Elephas maximus indicus: one gene and its partner. The protein of the gene in region 2 purifies or fractionates together with the protein of the main gene of each other region. This does not show direct contact. Links are inferred from orthologs where the notes say so. Each region holds a gene or a part of one and is shown on either strand. Other genes may lie near its edges.

What was found.
Region 1: the proteins of DR1 (region 2) and KAT2B purify together in Homo sapiens (affinity purification with mass spectrometry; 3 studies listed by BioGRID and IntAct, with this or other methods). This does not show direct contact. The link is inferred for Elephas maximus indicus from reciprocal best matches to the Homo sapiens genes DR1 and KAT2B.

What each region holds. Positions count from the first base shown.
Region 1 is NC_064845.1:19,717,995-19,728,056, forward strand, and holds the start of KAT2B (histone acetyltransferase KAT2B), read right to left. Parts: upstream 4,329-10,062; 5' UTR 4,241-4,328; coding exon 3,941-4,240; intron 1-3,940. Other genes in the region: uncharacterized protein LOC126068496, read left to right, coding at 4,438-4,968. UniProt on the Homo sapiens protein: Functions as a histone acetyltransferase (HAT) to promote transcriptional activation. Has significant histone acetyltransferase activity with core histones (H3 and H4), and also with nucleosome core particles.
Region 2 is NC_064821.1:148,820,800-148,831,902, forward strand, and holds the start of DR1 (protein Dr1), read right to left. Parts: upstream 4,440-11,103; 5' UTR 3,714-4,439; coding exon 3,494-3,713; intron 1-3,493. UniProt on the Homo sapiens protein: The association of the DR1/DRAP1 heterodimer with TBP results in a functional repression of both activated and basal transcription of class II genes.

The DNA of each region.
Region 1 (10,062 bases), on a different chromosome or scaffold from region 2:
TCCTATTGACTCCCCTTATGTACAAATGGTTTATTTCATTAGGAAGGGTCAGTCAGTGGTTTGGGTTTTATTTTTTAAGTTAGATAAATTACACTTTAATTCATGGAAGACTGGGTGGATTTGGGCTACTCGTACACTCACTTGGGGTTTCTTTTACAGCATTAAATACCTAGTCCCATCAACAACTGTGAGTCACCCGGAAATGCCCTACATGAAAAACCTCCTCTGCCCAGTTGTCAAAAAGTGGCCAAGTTAAAACTTCACAACTGCTATCCTAACAGCTAATTACTTCCTCAGCTTTCTCTTCTCTAGTTCATTCATTCAGTCAACAACCACATCACTTAGACTCTTAGTCAAATACATATCAAATAACGTGAAAAAAGCACCAGAAAGGAAAAGTACAGAGGAGTTTCGAGAACTTATAATGGGGAAGGCTGGCCTGGGGAGTAAAGGAAAGACAAGGACTCTGAGGTTTGCAAGAGGAACTGTGAGCTAATTCAGAAGCGAGTGGTAAGAGGAAGAACTTTCAGTTCCAGTTGGCAGCATGTGCAAAGGCCCCGAGGTAGAAGAGAACCATGTACTCAAGGCCCTAAAAGAGAGCCAGAGGAAGCTGTGGCCAAGCCATGTGAGACACTGTGGGTCCCAGTAAAGAGAAATTAAAAAGTTGCTATGAGTTGGAATCAACTTGACAGCAATAGGTTTGGTTTTAAGTAGAGACTTCTAACTGAAAAGTTGGAGGTTCCAACCCATCCAGAGGTGCCTTGGAAGAAAGGACTGGCAATTTGCTTCCAAAAGGTCACAGCCTTGAAAACCTTCCGGAGCACAGCTCTATTTTGCATTGCATGGTGTTGCCATGAGTCGGAATTAACTCCATGGCAACTGGTTTGGGTTTTGGTTAAGTGGAGACTTAATACGGTCAGATCTACATTTTTAATGATCATTCGGCAGATGTCAGCAAGGTGGCTCTATGAGGCAACCTTCGCCAGGACACAGTTCAAAGAACTCTAGCCTGAATCCTGCAAAACAAGTTTGTTTTTTTTTCTTATTTTCTTCTTCCCGGGGTGTGGCACACTACCCTGACTGTTAACTAGCCCCTTCTTTTTCTGTTTCATTCATGAAGTTTAAAGGCCAACTCCCCTTCTCTTTTCTCAGGTCTAGGACCTGGTTTTTTTACTTTTGTTTTCTTTCCTTTTTTGCGCATGCATTTTTAATAGCTCCCAGTAAACTACCTCATCTCTTTCCAGATTCCTCCTTATTCCCTAACATCGCTACTCTCTCCAACTGGCTGAAGGGGCCAGTAGCAAAAGATAGAACCATCTGTCCTTCGGGGCTTTTTACATGAAATATAGAGACAAACAGAAAAAAACATGGATTCTGCTCTCTGGCACCACCTCACACTCAACCAAGCCCCTTTAAAACAAAAAGAAAATCTGATAATGTCACTCTCCAGGTTAAGATTCCCAGATGCCCCAGTGCCCTCCTGGCCACACCCCCCAACCTGATCACCTGGCCAGTGGAGGCCTGGCTCCTGCTGGCCTGGCTCCAAGCTTTCAGCACAGCTTTCAGTTTCTCCTTCTCAAGAAGTTTCACCCCACCTCTCTGCGCTATAGCAAGAGTTCTTATAGCACCCACTGACACTTCCTCCAGGAAGCCATCCCCACCCTTCCCCTGGTACCCAGTGAACTGCCCTGCTCTGGTTCCCACACCACTCTGAGAAAGTAGTTTTTCCAAACTTTATTGTAACTGCTTCACTCTCCAACTCCCCAAGTCCTGAAGACAAGAGATGCACACTCATCTGCACGCTGTCCAGCAACACCATGATAGATTCTGGGTGTCTCAGCCCCAGCACAGTACTTGGCACCCATATGGGACCCCTCTATATTATTTACTGAATGAATAAGTAAATAAAATTTGATGCTTGCAGAGTCTCCCAAGAGCAGGAAGGTAAGTCTCTAAAGGAGATATGAGAGGTTTTTTCCTTCCTGTAAGTTTGGTAGTAAATGGAAACATGAAGCTCAAGTCACAAACTTTAGAAAAGGTACTACATCTCACTCATGGAAATTTGGAAGGATCAAAAATACCAGTGCAGGGCACATAGGTTCCTGGTTTTACACAGAACCAAAACTTTAGGAAGTCATCAGATATTAAGGCAACAGCCAGGGAGCAGAGAGAAAACGTGTTTACGATGGGAACCCAATAAAACACCAGGACAGAAACACCCAGCTGACGCAGTCGCTACCTGAACTACCTGAACCAACCCCACCTGCAAAACTCCAACCCCACTGCATAATTGAACTTGTTCTTGATTTTGCGTATAGCTCTCTCATCTGCCAACTACACTCAAGGTCCTGTTCTCACTATCCTGTCTAATGCCCTTCATAACCAAACTCCTAGCTTTGCCTTTCGTTTTTTTTTTTTTTTTATCTTTTTTTGCATTCCTTCTTCAGAAATACCAACCACATGACATTATCACTCTACAGTTCCAGTTTTCTTGGCTGAATTCAAAAGGGACTAATACCATATTATCCAGGTCTGAACTAGATCTTGCTACCTTGGAATTGAACCAGCATTGCATCGCCTGGAAATTTGTTACAAATGCAGAGTCTCAGGCCCCACCTCAGACCTAGTAATTCAGAATCAGCATTTTAATACTGGTGATTACCATGCACATTAAAGTCTGGGAAGCACTGTACTGGTTCCTACATTCACTCAGCAAATATTTATTGAATCAGTGTAGGGTACACAGTAGGTGCTCAATATATATATGAGGATGGTAATGGCTGGGATGAGAGCAAACACAGACATTTCGTGTAAATACTAAAAAAGCATCACCAGGAGGGTCAAGATATTCTAGCTGGATGAATAACCGTTACACCAAAATTCAGAAGTGACCATTGTAGCGCGGTAGTGGCAATCTGGAACCCTGGAAACTTGACCCTGTTTGCAGCAGGCGGGAGGAATACACGGGAGGTGGTGAGTGCCTGTGAGTGTGTCTTCCCCGCCTCAGCCACAGGCCGCAGGAGCTGACAAGGCCAAGTCCCCGCCCCCCTCAGCTGTCACCCTGTCAAAACAAAGCCGCTGCTGACAGCGCAGGGCCAGCTTGCCCCGCGGCCTCGGGCAATCGTCCCTCCCCAGGAGTGCAGCCCCTACATCTGGGTCTACAGCTGGGGGGCCATGGGGCGCCGAAAGCTGGGACGGAGAAGGGGATGGCTTGAAACGTGTGTCCTCAAACTGAGCAGCAGCGCCCGCTGCGCTGGGCTGTCACCTCGCCAAATCCTGTTTACACCCCGAGCAGCTGGGACAGCATTTTAACTAAACAAGTAATAATACAATAATGACAGTGCTGTCACCGCGTGCCGCAGAGCCTCCCCCCCCCCAGGCGCTCCAGGACCCTCTCCTTGGGCTGTGCCCACCTTCCCATCCCGCGCGTTCCGTCCCTTCGCTCCCCAGGTGCCTGGAGTTCGGGAGCCTTTTCCACCCTCACTCCTTGCACCCATCCCCTCCCAATGGGGCAAGGGGCAAGGCCAGGCTCACAGGGGGTTGCTCAGTCCCCAAGATGCTTCCCTGGCCCTGGGGCGCCCCGCCACACCGTGAGCACCATTGCACTCTCCGGTAGGCGCCTCTGGCGAGCTCCTACACAGCGACAAAGCCCCAGGGCAGCCCGGGAGCTCGGAAGCTAAGGTTACTCGGTCCGAGAGGGAGAAATGAAGAAAGGGCTTTCGATCTTGGGGATCCCCCTTCTCCCAACCCAACAGGACTCTTATCCAAGAAGGAGCTAACTGGGCGCGGGCGGCAGCAGCACTTCCGCGGTGCAGAGGCCCCAGGCGGGAGGCGGGAGGCGGGAGGCGGGGCGGGGCGGGGGCGGAGGGAGAGGGGGCAGGGGTCCCCCGGAGCTGGGCCCCTCGCCCCCACCCGCGGGCTGGGAGCGGCGAGCCGGTACCTTGCAAGCGGAGTACACTCCGAGTTTCTCCAGTTTCTTGGCCCGCGGAGCGGAGCGCAGCTGCGCCTTCTTCACGGCGATCCGGGCCGAGCCGCCGCCTCCCGGTCCTTCGGCCGTGCCCGCCGCCGCCACTGCCGTCGCCGGTCCGCAGGCGCCCGAGCCCCCGGCGGCGGCGCACGGGGAGCCCTGCGGGGGCGCGGGCGGCGGCGCGGGGGGCTGCGGGGGTAGCGCCCCGGGCCCGGCCCCCGCCCCGGCTCCTGCCCCGCCGCCGCCCGGCCCGGCCCCGCCAGCTTCGGACATGCCGGCCCGGAGCACGGCAAGAGGCGCCGAGTGTCAGGCGCCGCCGCCGCCGCCAGGGTCTCCCTCTCGGGTCTGGTCGCCGGGAGCGCGAGACCCTCCCCCCACGCCCTCCCGCCCCTTCGCCCACCCCCCTCCCCGCCCCCGCCCTCCCCCGCGCGCCGCGCGCCCCGCTCGCTCCGGCCGCGGCCCGCGCGCTGATGGTGGCGGCGGCGGCAGCTGCGCCCCAGGAGGGAGGGGACTCGCGGCCCGGCTGCCGCCGCCGCCACTGCCGCCGCCGCTACACACGCCCTGGCCCGGCTTCGCTCCCCGGGGCTGGGCTCCGCTCGGGGGCCGCGGACATGTCCTCGCGGCCACCGACGGGGGTGCTGGGGTCGGGGCGCCCTGGGCCTCTTTCCGCTCCCCGCGGGGTCTGCGCCCCCTGCCCCCAGGCCTCGGCACCTAGCGCTCACCCGGCAGGGGGCGAGGCCAAGCTCGGGCTGGGGGGTGAGGGTGGAGTGGAGGGTGGGGGTAGGGGGCTGGAGCCCAGGCACCTGCTGGCCGCCTCCCCCCGCCTTGCCCGGCGGCCCCTCCGCCGACCCTCGCGCTCCCGAGCCTGGGGCAGGGGCGGGGGACTCCAGTCGTTTGTCCTGCCACTCCGTCCCACCCTCCCTCGGAGCGAGACAACTTCCTCCACCCTAGCGGGAGCCCGAGGAAAAAAAATATTTTTGAAAAGTACCCGTCCATGCTAATCCTTTCTTTGTTGCTAATTCACCAAAATAAAAGACTTGGTGTTTTCTTTTAAAATACATTTCTGTCAAACTTTTTTTTTTTTTTAATTAAAACGCTTTCTTCCTATAGCAACTTCTGGACCAAATCTGCCACAAGAGGGAATAGACTGTTATAGACTGTTAATCAATACGTTCGGTAGGTTTTTTTTTTTTTTTTTTTGAAAGTGCTGATAGTTAGAAGAACGATTGCCTAAAAGCACTGTCAAAATAAAACTGTGCTAAGCCGGAAAAGTTGGAAAAATGTTAGGGTTCATCATCATTGCCATTTTCTTTTTTATAATTTTCCTTAGTTTTTAACTTTGATGCCACCAGCATGCATATGAACCGGAAAAAAAAAATTGTTTAAGCAGCGTCCAAAGGAGAAGTGTAGATTTTGGCCTCAAACTTTTTTTTTTTAGCTGAACTGTGAGTTTTCAACTCATGCTGTTGCTGGCCTGGAGGGTGGTGTTTTGGAATGTTCACTCCACATTTCAGTTTTGCATTTGAAATTCGTGCCAGGTCGGCCTTTCGAAGACTTTTTAAAGGCCCACTGCTGTTTCTCAGTATCCTTCAGAAGTGCCCTAATTTTGCAGGGCGAGTGTTATCATATGTAAAATGGGTCATAATATGCTTATCGGATTCTTCGGATGCCTTCTAGCTCCCACCCACCCCCACAGGAGGCCAGACACGCCTTAAGCCACCGTGTTTGTCCCCGGGAAACAAACATATTCCTTCCCCTCCTTCCTCCCCCTCCCTCTGTCCCCCCTTGAATTTTTTTCTATCCTTTTTCCCAGATTTTCTTTGTTCTTTTGGCTTTTCATGCAGAGGGGTATGTAAAAATTGAAAAAAAAAATAACTTTGTACGTTGAAACAGTGATGTTAGAAAGGGCAAAAGGAAATTTCCACTCCTAATTTGAGTCCACTCTGAAGGTCTGAAAGACTCATCAGTTTCCATCAGGACAGTTAGTTCAGTGCTTCCTTTCTTGGCTTAAGGTGCTTCACTTGGCTCTGCTGAAGTGTTTTGCAATTTTTTTTTCTTTTCTTTTCTTTTTTTTTTTGGTCATTCTTGCCAAAGCAGGATGGGAGTCTTAAAAGTCGTGATCCTCTAATCAGACTTTTCGAGCATCAGAATGTTAGCAAATCTCTTAAAAATCCTCGAGCAATATCACGTAGTGATTTGGGTTAGAGCCCTGGTGGTACAGCGGTTTAAGAGCTTGGCTTGCTAACCAAAAGGTGGGCAGTTTGAATCCGTCAGTCGCCCCTTGGAAACCCTGTGGGGCAGCTCTACTCTGTCTTCTAGGGTCACTATAAGTTGGAACCAATGGCAATAGGTGTGATTTTTTTTGGTTGGTTTGGGTTACATTGTAGACACTGTCAAACTCCTGGAATGGTCTACTTGAGATCTGTGCACTTAATTTGATGTAAAGTGAATTTCAAAAAAATTTTCTGAATCATAAACAAATACTGAACTCCAGTTAATGATATGCATGCTGAAAGTTTAGGGGTGCAGTGTACCGACATCTACAACTTATTTTGAAATGCATCAGAAAATAAGATGAATTGATGCATCCATCAATGGGCACAGGAGTGGATGAACAGATGTGTGATAAAGCAAGTAGGGCAAAATGTTAATGGTAGAATCTAGGTGGTGGGTGTTCACTGGATAATTCTTCCAACTAATCTGTACGTTTGAAAATCTTTATAATAAAATGTTGGGAGAAAAATCTACCTTTAATATTAACTTACCTCTCACAACTACTCCTAAGCTACTCCCAGAATTCAGGAAGCAGGCTATTCCCAGAATGTTTTGAAGCAGAAGTAACCAGCCTCATTTCAAACCACTCTGAAAACCATCACTGTCTGAATGGTGAATGGCTTGTGACATCAACTGAATATGATTTTTCATTATTTTCCTGCTCAGAGCATCCAGATGACACACTGCCTTAGGCTGAAGGCCCACCATTTTAAGGCATATTCAAAATGTGTTATGAGCACCAGGCAGGGAAATTTCAAAGGCAAAGGATGCAAGAGCCTTATTGCCTCTTCCTAATCAGGCTAATAGGGTCGCTATGAGTCGGAACTGACTCCACGGCACCTAACAACAATCAGGCTATTAAGAGCATTTAGTAAGCTTTAAGCTTTCCTGTGTGCACAGCACTCTGTTACCCTGTAGATACCAAGAAAATAAAAGACGATGTTTCATTTTAAAAACATTTGCAACTCACTGAGGTAAGGATGCCACAAAAAAGAAAAAAACAAAGGCACAGGGAGTGAGAATTATAGGGGGCGGGCTGACCACTAAAGGTTACTTGTGGTATATTTATATTACAGAATATTATGCAGCTGTTATAATAGAGTAGCCTTTATATTGTATCAATTCAATAACAGCTCTCCAAGAAACACTGTTGAATGAACCCTGGTACAGTGTAATACTATTTATGTTAAAAACAAACTCACATTGACATATAAATGCAATTCTGTGAATGTTCAATCAATGCAAATAAAAATGTAAAAGCAAGAGAAAGATCTAGAAGGATGCATGGCAAACTCTTCAGCGTAGTTTCATGATATGGGGGAGAGCAGAGCAAGGAAGGTAAAACAAGAGGGGATCCAGAACTTGAGCCTTATTGGCAACATGTTAATTTCAGATTTTTTTCCAAATTTTTTTCAAATACGACAGCTTTATTGAAATGTAATTAACATCCCATAAAGTCCACCCTATTAAATTGTACACATCAGTGAGCTTTAGTATGTTCACTAAATTGTACAACCATCATCACAATCAATTTTAGAATATTTTCGCCACCCCAAAAAGAAAACTCTCAGCCTGTCCTCCCTCCAGTCCCTGGCAGCCATGAATCTAATTTCTGTCTCTATAAATTTGTCTCTTCTGGACATTTCATATGAATGGAGTCACAGTACGTGGTCCTCTGTGACTAGTTTTTTTTTTTTTTTTTCACTTACCATGTTTTCAGGGTTCATCCGTGTTGTAGCATGAATCAGGATTTCAGCTGTTTTTATAGCTGAATACTATTCCATTGTATGAATTTAAATGTTGCTGAGTGGCACAAATGGTTTGCACTCAACTATTAAGCTAAATAAATCTGTCTTGCAAGAAGCAGGACCAGAATGCTCCTTAGAAGCAAGGACGCCCACACTTTGGACCTGTTATCAGGAGGGATCAATCCCTGGAGAAGGACATCATGCTTAGTAAAGCACAGGGTTAGCAAAGAAGAGGAAGACCCTCAATGAGATGGATTGATACAGTGGTTGCAACAGTGGGCTTAAGCATAGCCCTGATTGTGAGAATGGCTCAGGACTGCGTAGTGTTTCCTTCTATTGTATGTAGGGTCACTATGAGTTGGAACCCACTCAATGGCACCTAGCAACAACAACATTAATCTAAAGGTTGACCCTTCAAACTAAAGCAGGCAGTCATGAAAAGGTTATTAAGCATCCCATCATAGTTTTTCAGAAAAGTCTAATCTTGCTATGTTTTTGTTACAACTTTTACAGCACTTCGCCATGATCGGTCAAATCCACAGGTTTCTTGTCTTCTCCTGGCAGGAGGCCAAAGCACAGGAGCACAGACTCCGAATCTACCCACTACATGACCTTCCCGGGGGTGGCAGGAGCAAGCCGATGCCATTTTTTCAGGGCTCTGCCCAGTATTTTTAGAGCAGTGGGCAAAAACCCATTCCCTAAAATTATGGGGGCTGCACACCTCAAAGGACTGAAGATCGTCCCCTCACTGTTCATGCATATGTAAGTCACTCCCTATAAAGGAGCAAATCTGCCCTGGTCCAGAGTGCTGGCATCCTTAGGTCATGAGACCCTGCCTGTCTCCCAGTTTGCAAACTGTGAATAAACCTTTCTGTTCTTCCAACCCTGTGTCTGGCTGACTTCAATTCGCTAGTCTGCTTGACAAGAACCTATTAGTTGATGGCTTCAAAACCCACCCATTGGCCGTGCAGAAGAAAGTCTTGCTGATCAGCTTCCGTAAAGATTACAGCCAAGAAAACCACACAGAGTGATTATGTTCCGTTACGCGTGGCGTTGCCATGAGTCAGAATCCACTGGAAGGCTACGGATTTGGTTTTCGTTTTGTTTTGTTTTCAGTGAGTATGAAGTGATATTTCATTATGATTTAGATTTGCATTTATTTCCCTGATGACTAATGATGTTGAACTTCTTTTCATGTGCTTCTTGGCCATTTGTATAACTTCCTTGGAAAAACGTCTATTCGGACACATTTTTAAATTGGGTTATTTGTCTTTTAATTGTTAGCTGTAAGAGTTCTTTATATAGTCTAGATGCAAATCCCTTATCTGATATATGATTTGAAAATATTTTCTCCCACTCCATGGGTTGCCTTTTAACTTTGTTGATGGTATCATTTGAAGCACAAAAGTTTTTAATTTTGATGAAGTTCAATTTACCTATTTATTTATTTATTTATTTATTTATTCTGTCAATTGTGCTATTGGTGTCATATGTAAGAGTCCATTGCATAATCCAAGGTCACAAAGATTTATTTCTGTATTTTCTTCTAAGTGGTTTATAGTTTTAGCTCTTATATCTGTGAGTCATTTTGAGTTCACTTTTTTATATGGTGTGAGGTAAGGGTCTAATTTCATTCCTTCGTATCCAGCTATCTAGTTTTCCCAGCACATTTGTTGAAAAGATTCGTTCTTTCCCCATTGACTTGTCTTGGCACTCTTGCCAAAAATCAATTTACCCTAAACGTGAAGATTTGTTTCTGGACTCTCAATTCTATTCCATTGATCTGTATGTCTATCTTTATGCCAGTAGCATGCTGTTTTTTTTAATCAGGTGTAATTATAGTTTATTGCAATGATGTTTTCTTATTGTGATTTAGGTGAAAGTTTACATAGCAGATTAGTTTCCCATTAAACAGTTAATACACAAATCATTTTGTGACATTGGTTGCCAACCCCAAGATATGTCAACACCCTCCACTTTCTCCACCCCAGGTCCCCTGTTTCTATGCGTACAATTTTCTTCCCCCTTCCTACCTTCTCATCTTGCTTTTGGGCTGGTGTGCCCATTAGGCTC
Region 2 (11,103 bases):
TGCTCCGTAGAACAAACAATTATCCGAGACCAAAAGGGCAACATTTGCCCAAAAGTAAAGGTGAAAAGGCAGGGGTAGGAAAACCAGACAAGAGGAAATAGGGAACCAACGGCGGAAATGGGGAGAGTGCTGACACAGTGTGGGGACTGCAAACCAATGTCATGGAACACACTGATATAAGTTGTTGAATGGGAAACTAATTTGCTCTGTAAACTTTCACCTAAAACACAATAAAATATTAAAAAAAAAAAAAAAAAACTTTCACAGCAACTTAGCAGAGTAATTTATGTCCATTGGATCTAATAAAAATTTTAACTTTTATGTCTTTTTTTTCATTTCATTTTTCTAGAGATCCATTTTTATTGTATTTTACAAAAGTATCAGTGTGCAAAGGACTACAGGTTAAAAAAAAAAAAAAAAGTCCATCATAGATAGCTTGGAGCAACTTAACTGCTGAGGAAGCCAACTCTCAGAGACCTTTTCAAGCTTTCACTACTTTCAGTTACTGTTCTCATAAATGTGAAAAAAAAAAAAGTAGAAAGAGATTAAAAAATGCAGGAAGAAAATAATACCACCTAAAATATTCTCATTTTCACTTTGGTTTTACAAATGGCACCATGATGTAAAGATTAAATGTAATGTAACAGGCTTTCAGCTTTATATTCTTATCAGTACCACTACAAGTTTTTAAAATTGTAATTTATCGTGGCACATTTCACTTAAGGTTCTAACCCAACTGGTTCTCAATAATTTCAAGGTGCACCTGAAACCATTAAATATTATTTACACAGAAGTGGAAAACCTTAGCTAACAGATTTGCCTAAGGCCAAAGAATTTCCAGTGTACAGCTTGCAACTCTGGATTCTCCAGGATTCTCCATGTCACTTTGTCCCATAATGCAAGAGACATGTTAGAACTCATTCACAAATAAATGTTCACAGAAAACAGCAAAGAGATAAAAGGAATACTTTTTAAAACTTAGAACTCTGTCCATGGATCTGAAATCTTCTTTCTTAAAACTCAAAATAAGTAAACTATTTGGGGGGGGGGGGAACTAAGTTATAGTATTTCATAGATAAACTGGCAGTAACATGCTTTGACTTTATCTTCCATTTTACGGAATTGCCTCAGAATGCTTAATTTGCTTTGACAAGGTACAACAAGGTGACATGTGAACATGTGAAATGTACTGATGCAAAGTCTAGCTCATTAAACTTATTACTAAAAATTCAAGCTTCAACATGTTAGAATCATATCATTTTAAAAATTACATTATTATTTTACTTACGCATTGCATAGGGTTGCCATGAGTCGGAATCGACTCGATAGCACTTTATATATATATATCCTACAGTCCTAAAAAACCAGCGCTGACACAAAAGTGTAAAAAATGTCCCATCTACATGATTTCCCAACCTAATTTTCCAAAGTTAGTCTGTAAAACTATACCTTAAGCACCTAAACTATACACACCCTAAACATTTCCTTAAAAAATTTTTAACCACTCAAAACAAAAATTCTTTAAAATAGTTAGGCAAAATGAGGTTCAAATGAAATTATAAACGTTTAAAAGCTACTCCTCAAACCAGGGAGAATTCTTGGGCAAAAATGTGGGCCTTTATCCACTCAACAATAGCAATGATACAAGTTTAAAAAAAAAAAAGGTAAATTTATAGACTGTAACAGTCAATACATGATACTTTAAAATTAATAAATGACCCTCAGTACACAAGGAAAAATGCTTTCACTGTAACTTTCTGATTCATACATTACACAGAATTTAGCATATTCCAAAGTTGAACTATTTAGCACACTGCTTGCTACAGCTGCACTTTTATTCCATCATGTCAATCAGAAATCTAAATATATCCTAGAATAGAATAAACTCTCCCCAAGAAGACAGTTGTAATGTGTTATTAGATTTTGGGAACGATCCCCACTTCTCTGGTGTAAACAAATGTTTTAGCATATCCTACTGAAATCTTCTGCAATTTTCATTAGAAAGGCAATGTTGATAAAAGGTCCTTTTTTCTCTTCAATGAGTTGTAAAAGGAAATTATAGCTATCTGTGTGGGATTCTCTTGTGAAAGACTACATGATAGCAATCACACATACAATGTAAAATTAAAAACAGACAAAAATAGACACCTTGCCTTTCATTTTACTTGCTAGAACATTCAGCACACCAAAAAGGCAGAAAAAAAATTAAAATACTAGCTTTAAGAATCCCTATGTATTGAAATAGCAGAGTATGCTTTAAATCTACATTCAGCAGGTCAGTTAAGGATCAAAAATGAATCTTTTAGTTCCTTTGTCAATATTGACAGTAAAATACTGGATACGGTGAATATGAGCAGATGTGTTCTCTGCTTCAGTAGAACAGGAAGTCACCTTTGAAAAAGTTAAATTATAAAACTGAAATGCCAGACAACCATCTGCTTACCAAAATGATTAAATTAACCACTTAAAACTTTTCTTTTCCTGACTTCAAAAGCAATCAAGAGACTGTTAAGATTTTAAGGCAAGTTTTCACCTCAATTTGAATGCAACTTTCTGGGTAACAGTACATGTGAAAATCACAAAAAGTGTTTCCCAAAGCATGATGACTAGTAAATACGCCTCTCATCCCTGAAACCATCAGAATATGGTCCCCCAAATCCCTATTACTGGACTAAATGCTTTCCAAAACGAGAGGGGAAAAAAACTTAAATTTTCCAAAAGTGCTATTCAGTAAAAGACGAAATGTATACATCTAAATGGGAATGACAGCAGGAAAGTACAGGGAAATGTTTCATGAAAAAAACTGCTCACAATCTTCCAATCCAAGCTTTTAGTTGCATTCAAATTTATTTCCACACAACAAAGCAGGAACATTCACTCTTTCCTTACATAATAGAACTGAAACTCTTGGAAACTTGATGAACAACCATCAAACTATTTTAAACGAAAAATAAAAAGAAGTGGCCTTTACTAAACACCAATAACCTTTCCCAAGCTGAATACATTCTTGTTAAGAATTTTTTTATTCATGTGTTCAGAATATTGACCCTTTCCTCTACATTACTGAATAGGTGGAGCGGGAGAACGGGTGCTGTTTCCACTCCTGCTTGAAGTTCCTCTGTCTGAATTTTAACTTTCCAAGGGAGAACTTCTGGCTTCCTTTCTCAAATGTCATTATCTGGGTTCAACTTAGGGCAGGCAATTCTTGTTGCTTCGGCTGTAAATCGAGACCATTACCAAGAACTGATCTTTTGGGGCTGTGAGGTGACCTAAATGCTTGCAATCCTTAGTTGCATCGGCCGGATGCCAAGTACCACAAGAACACACAACGGGATTTTCCTAAGGAAAAAGCTGCCTCCTTGCCCGTGTGGCTTCTTCACTCAACAGTACTTACCAAGGAAGAGGAATGAAGGTTTTGACACAAACGGGTCACGCGACTAGCAGACTGTCCCCCGGCCCCTCTTTTAATCCAAACGCCACACGTACCACTTACCTTGTATGACATGCTCTGGTGAGATGGTCTTCTTTTCCGATTTGTTGCAAATCTCATTGGCTTCAGAAGATATAAGGTGAATGAATTCAGTGCAGCAGTTCACCACCAGCTCCCGGGCATCGTTGGCCACCCGGACATTGGGAAGAGTCTCTTTGATCATCTTATTGATAGCAGCTCTGGGTATAGTGAGATCATCATCGTTGCCAGATGAGGAAGCCATCGTACATTCCTATCTCTCGCACCCGACTTTTAAAAACTCCCCAGTTCTGGTCCACTACTCCACGGAGATTTCTGAAAAGGCCCCCTTCGGAGAGTGACCCTGAGGGGCGCTCTGAGAAGAGGGTGCAGAAAATAAGGGGGGAGGAGCTGGCTCGGCCAGGCGGGGAACACCCGAGTGTGTGAGATTTAGGGCGAGGCTGGTAGGAAAGTCGAAGGGCTGAGTGTTCTGGGGACAGCACTGCCGGGCCGAGGAAGGGTAAGCTTGGCGTGATCCGGAAATTTGAGGTGCTGGGCAACCACCTTCGTGTCTCCTCAGCGGGGCAGGAGCTGTCGCCTAACCGGACCCCAACGACGCCGGAGCAGAGGCAAAATCCAGGGGCACTGGCCTCCCCGAGGCACCGGACGTACACCCAGCGAGCTCGGCTCTACAGAGCCTGAGCCGCCGCCACCCCCGCCAGGAGCCGTTGCCGCCGCCTCGGCCAAACCATCCTTCAGATACCCGTGCCACCGCCTCACAACATGTCGGCCTCGGCCGCTGCTGGAATTGCGGGGGCCGCCTGGGAACGAATACAAACAGGGTAAAGCACAGGGAAAGCCGCAGTGGCAGCCCCGTGGCCGTTTATCCCGAACGCAGATCGTAGAAGCCGCAGCGGCTCCAACCGCGGCCCCTCCAGAAGCCTGAGAAGAAGGTTTGCCGGGAGCAGCTCCCGACACCCTTTGCGCCACCGGAAGCCTCGGCTCTAACCAGTTTCCCCCACCCTACCAGACCGACTTCCGGGTGTGGCTGCCACCCTTCCCCCACCCGCCCCGGCGGGAAGCACGGGGTCTCTCAGTAGCTTCCGCCTGTCCCGGGTCCGGCGTGCGGCCCAGCATCCCGCGCCTTCACTGGGGCCGTCGCCGAGCAAGCGCGCGCCTCACGGTACCGGGGAACCCTGGGAGCGCGCTTGCTCCAGGGCTGGGACCGCAGACGGTGGGTAGGGCGGGTGGATGTGAGAGAAGAGTTCAGTTCCTTCGTCTCTACTCTCCCACCACCAGCGGAGGCCTCGAAACCCTCCCCCAGCCGTTTTGGGGGACAAAGGAGCCCCGGATTTCCTTAAAAAGAACTCTCTGCTTTTCCTTAAGGAGACCAAATTGGTCTTGAAAGAGGAGACTACCCGAGCTTGGACTCGGGGCTGAGGATGTGGGGAAGGCAGAACCCCGTATGCCTGGTGTCTGCATCGTCCGGAAAGAAAGCTTTTGAAGATTTCTAATGGACGTTATTTGGATCACAGCTCACTATGGTCCTCCACCCATTTTCTCGTTTTTTATGGGAAAGGAGATACTCAGAAATAACTTGCCCAGTCACTACTGGAGGCTAAGCGAGAAACTAGAAGTCAGATCCATCGTAGTGGAAACGCCTAGCGTACAATGAGCCACATTACGAGATTTTAACGTAGCCATTTTTCACGTCGGATTGCACGTTTGCTTTTGGAGATGAAAAAAAAAAGTACTGTAGAGCATCTTAACACAACTCTGATTTTTGCCCCTCCAAGGTGACCCGTAATAGAAACTGGTGTCAAATTCTTCACAAAAATTGCATTATTTAAAAAATTGTGTCATACTGTCGTTTGGAAGAAGAGGCTACATTATAAATTATTGGGTGTAGAGATTTCTAAAAAATAAAGATACCATTTAAATCAGTTTTGGCACTTTAGTTCATCAGATACATTGGAAGGCAACTGACTTGTTTAAAATGTTTTTTTAAAAAGGTTTTATTTTGGTCTAAAAGCACATCCTAGGTGTGTGGCATCTGGAGGTGTTTTTCAGTTTATTACACTGTGTTTTCTCATTCAACATTTTCTCCAAGACATGTGCCGGGATCTTTGATTTCTAAAGTGTGGACGCTTGATTTTCAGTGCTAGTAAGTTTAGTCCAGACAAAAAAATTACTTAATAAAACAATATTTTAAATTTTTCTTCAAAATAGGAATGTGGAACTGTTGGCTCAGGTGTAACATCTTCATGAAGTGGTTTTGTCAGTCAGTTTACTGTTAGTTCAGAGAGAAAATTTAATTAAATACAAATAGCAGTGTGATATGTAATGAATATGCTAACCTGGATTCCATATTTAAATATTTATTTATAGTATAATATAGCCCTATTATAAATAGGAGCCCTGGAGGCACAGTGGTTAAGAGCTGGGCTGTTAACCAAAAGGTAAGCAGTTCAAATCCACCAGCTGCTCTTTGGAAATGCTATGGGGCAGTTCTATTCTGTCCTATAGGGTTGCTATGAGTCAGAATCCACTGGAAGGCAACGGATTTGGTTTTTTTGGTATTATAAATAGGCTTTTGGGAACAAGGATAACATCTTAATAAGCTTTATGAATCTTAAAGTACATATATCAGACATTTTTTCATGGTATCCAAAAATTCATGATATGACAGAAAACAATAGTACTGTGAGTTATTTTTTTATGATTATTTAGGCTTAACTGCTATAGTAATTATCTTAAAATATGTTAATTTATAGATACCCAGGTCTTCAGCTAAAATTACTAACAATAATACATAACATTCATAATTTGAAGCTTGACATTTCTGTTGCTAACATACAAATTGCCACTTGGTAACAATTCAAATTTCTTAAAATCTATCCTCTACTTCTTTTATGCTCGGCACTGTGCTAAATGCTTTTACCTGTATTATCTCATTTGATCCTCACAGTAACCATGTTTGTTAGATACTGTTTTAATCCCCATTTTACAGATAAAGAAATTGAAGTTTGGAAAGGCTAAATAACTTACCCAAGGTCAGTGTAGTAGCCAGGATAGGCTAGATTATGTTGCAAGAATAAATAACTCCCACACCTCAAAAGCTTTATTTCTTGCTCGTGCTCTGGGTTCATCAAGGGTCATCAAGAGGGCTTCCTTCATAGTCTCTCAGGGATCCATTGGAACAGTTGGGAAGAAAGAGGCTTGAAATACAGGCTTTTGAAAGATGGAGAGAAAGGAAGAAAGTATTTGTATTCAAAGTAACAACACAAAGTTGTGAAGACAAATTATTCTGGGAACAGTGAGAAGACTACCCTCCTTGCAGGAGTGAGAGAGAAAGGAGAACGCCAAAGACATAAGGCAGAAGGGATTAGAATAGCGTTACTGACAAAAACAGCAAAACTGAAAGGGAGCAGTTTAAAGAAGATGTGCTTACTTTTGCACATGTCTGGGTTTGAGGCATTTAAGGAAGTGATGTCGGGTAGGCAGAGGAAAGAGAAGACAAGCAGCATCTGATTCCTGCATTCACTCAACAACTGAGAGTCTACTGTCCTAAGTATGATGTGGGAGAAATAAATCTGAATAAACCACTCTTCTTGTTTTCAAGGAGCCCACAATCTGGTGGGAGAGGCAGAATATAAACCAGATGGAAATAAAATGCTGTGATAAAGACAGAAGATGGTGTGTACAGAGGAAGGAGTGATTGACACACCAATTGTGATATACACAGGGCTTTATGGAGGGCCCAACATTTCTCTGAGTCATGAAGACTAAGTAGAATTTTAATAAAGAAGAAACACAAAGTGCATTGTATGGCTTGGGAAAATCAAGTAGCCTAGAGTGGCTCTTTTTGGGGGGTTTATGAATTAGTGTAGTGGGATATGATGCTGGAAAAGTAAATCAGCTAAAAAAAAAAGCTAACAAAACAAATCAGTGCCTGTTATGAATGATACACTGTACGGGAAGTTTTCATAGGCATTGTTTCATTTAATTCTGATACAGCCCTACATACTAGGTGTTCTGACAGATGCAAAAACAGATTTCGAGGTGTCAGTAGAAGGAGGAGGGAATTTCATACAGCAGAGCAGCAAAAGCTCAGTGAGACAGAACATCGTGGTATTCTTGGTGAGCCGCAATATTTTGGTAGAGGATGTAGGGTAAGGAGCATACGAAGAAGTAGCATGAGAGAAAGCTATTCTGGTAAGTATAATAGTTAAGATTATTTTGGTTGCTAGTTAAATTGACTTTACTGGATACTGGGGTATCTCACAGAAACTTAGAAATTACTGAACAACCAGGGAAATTCTGTAGAACTCGGTAGTAGGAATCCATAAACTGTCTTCCTGATGGGATGTAAACAACTTTCCATCTCTCTGCCTCTTTGATCAAAATTCCAGTTTCCTAGTGCAGTAAGTGTTTGGCCAACCTGGATCATATTTCCACTCCTGTGTTATTCAGCATGACCAGGCTGCAAACTATGTGTGTGGATGTTTGCTGTTGTTCCATCCCTTTGATGGGAAGGGAGTTGTCACTGTGAACTGTGCAGCTGGCCTAAGAGGTGTTTCTTGTGTTCTATTCTTAGGTTGCTGAAGCCACATACCCTTTTCCCCCTATGTACAATGATAAAAATGCCTCCAACCAACATGACCCTGCCATCCCAGTACAACAGTTCTGCATCTGCACCCTTACCCAGCCTAAAGATGCATCCAACTGGTGGAAAGAATGTCTTAATGTTACTTTTCTCCTAGTCCTGACCTCTGGATATCAAGTATCCATTCCTCTTCTAGTTCTGGCATAGTCTCATTTAGGTGTGGCTCCTCCTGGTCCTCAATCCATGGACTAAATTATGATTACTATCATCACACTCTACAAATAATTTCACTGGGAGTGGGGACAGCAGTGATTGTTCTCATTTTAAAAGGGAAACAAACAAAACCTCGTTGCCATCGAGTTAATTCTGACTCATAGCAACCGTATGGGACAGAATAGAACTGCCCCACAGGGTTTCCAAGATGTGGCTAGTGGATTCAAACTGCTGACAACTTGGTTAGCAGCTGAGCTCTTAACCACCATGCCACCAGGGTTCCTTAAAAGGGAAAGGTAAGGCTAATTTTTCAGTCTTCAGGCATTCCAGCAAAATGTGCAGACCACTTTTTCCTATTCTGGTTCCTGAGGCTATAGCTGGTATACATGACTACCTATGCCGGGTTTCCTTGGTTACAATCTGGCTGGCTGTGGTTCCTTGCCTAGTAGGGTGATTTAAGCCTTCATTTTTGAGAGGTCTAAGCCCTTGGTGATGAGCAGCATCAAACATGTCAAATTAAACAAAGGCAATGCAGCAGATTGGAGGACGACTCTGAGGTAGAATGACTGGGGACCAAGAAATATTTGTGAATAAATGGTTCCTATTTTACAGATGATAAAACTCAAGCACAAAGAGCCTAGGTAACTAAAGTGAAAGAACCAGGGTTTAAACCCAAGGTGTCTGGCTCCAAAGGAACTCTTCTTCATAGCTATGTTATGCTGCCCCAGCGCTGCCAATGTGGAGATTGAGTTCGGTGCTGGGCCTTCCATACCCGTTGCCAATTGAGTTGATTCCAAATTATGTTAACCACATGTGTGTCAGAGTAAAACTGTGCTCCATAGGATTTTCAGTGGCTGATTTTTAAGAAATAGATCTCCAGACCTTTCTTTTGAGGCGCTTCTGTGTGGACTCAAACCTCCAGCTATTCAGCTAGCAGCTGAGCAAATTAAATGTTTCCACTACCAATGGACTCCATCTGCATGGGATTAAATCATATCATGGCTCTTCAATTTTAGTCTTGTTTCGTGAGCAAGAATAGGTTACTTAATTTTTTTTTAAGTCTCGGTCTTTTAATCTATAAAATGGAGGCACCCTTTAAATGTGTGGCGTTTCATAAGTGAATTTATAAAATGGCTATTTGCCTTAGGCTGGGTTCTCTAGAGAAGCAAAACCAGTAAAGGTATAAATATATATATATATTATATATATATATATATACATATATATATATATAGAAAGAGATCGCATTGGGTAAATCTGCTGCAAAGGACCTCTTTAAAGCATTGAAGAGCAAAGATGTCACCTTGAAGACTAAGGTGCACCTGCCCCAAGCCATGGTATTTTCAAAAACATCATATACATGTGAAAGCTGGACAATGAATAAGGAAGACCGAAGAAGAATTGACGCCTTTGAATTGTGGTATTGGCGAAGAATATTGAATATACCATTGACTGCCAAAAGAATGAACAAATCTGTCTTAGAAGAAGTACAACCAGAATGCTCCTTAGAAGCAAGGTTGGCGAGACTGCGTCTTACATACCTTGGATATGTTGTCAGGAGGGATCAGTCTCTGGAGAAGGACATCATGCTTGGCAAAGTACAGGGTCAGTGGAAAAGAGGAAGACCCTCAAGGAGGTGGGCTGACACAGTGGCTGCAACGATGAGCTGAAGCATAACAACGATTGTAAGGATGGTGCAGGACCGGGCAGTGTTTCGTTCTGTTGTGCATAGGGTCACTATAAGTCGGAACTGACCCAACGGCACCTAACAACAACAACAACAACAACAGAAAGAGATTTATGTCAAGGAAGCAGCTCATGTGGTTGTAGAATCTGGAACGTTCCAAGTCAGTGGATCAGGATAGAAATTTCTCCTGATTCACGTAGCCGCAGGGGCTGGTGAACCCAAGATTGGTAGGTTGGAGAGCAGAGCTCTTGCTCACAGACTGTGAAGACTGATGAATCCCAAGATTGGCAGGTGAGACTGCAAGGATTCTCCCAATTCACATAGCTGCAGGGGCTGATAAACCCAAGATCAGCAGGTTGGAGAGCAGGGCTCTTGCTCACAGGCTGTGAAGATCAATGACTCCCAAGTTTGGCAGGTAAACTGCTAGCTCAATCCCAAGAAGAGGCTGTCGGATGAACAGGAGCCAGCTGCAGGATCTAGAGCAGGGAAAAGCCAGAACATCCACTTATCCTCAGATGCAGGCCACACGTCCAAGGAAACTCCCTTTCAACTGATTGGCTACTGACAGCAGATCCCATCATGGGAGTGATCACATATAAACCCGAGAATTATGGCCCAGCCAAGTTGACACACAATGTTAACCATCACAGTCCACCCCTTGTCAACTTGAGACCTGTACACATCTCCCCAAACCATACATAATCTCTGAATAAAAACAATTACAAAGTCATACTTGCACCTAACATGATAGAACTAACATGCATACAACCGAAAATGCACTAGCCCCACTTACATCTTATATTTTATATGTGAAGAAAACAAAAATATTGGATACACACATGCAAAGCAGAAATACTCTTAACAATTACAGTCCTCGTTTCTGCAATTGGACACATGGACATAACTGGTATTTAGAACTACCTCCTTCCACCACCCGTTGCATATTCCCTTTGCCCTCAATAAGCACCTCAGCTGGTTGTGGTTCTTTGCCTGGTGGGGTGACCCAAACCTTCATTCCTAAAGGGTCTGGGCCATTAGTAATCGTATCAGAATTGGGTTGCTGTAGTTTTCCATTGACTTTAATCACAGGACATGGTAATACTAAGAGACACCCTAATGGGTCTCCTGCATTCCAGACATACTCTTCTT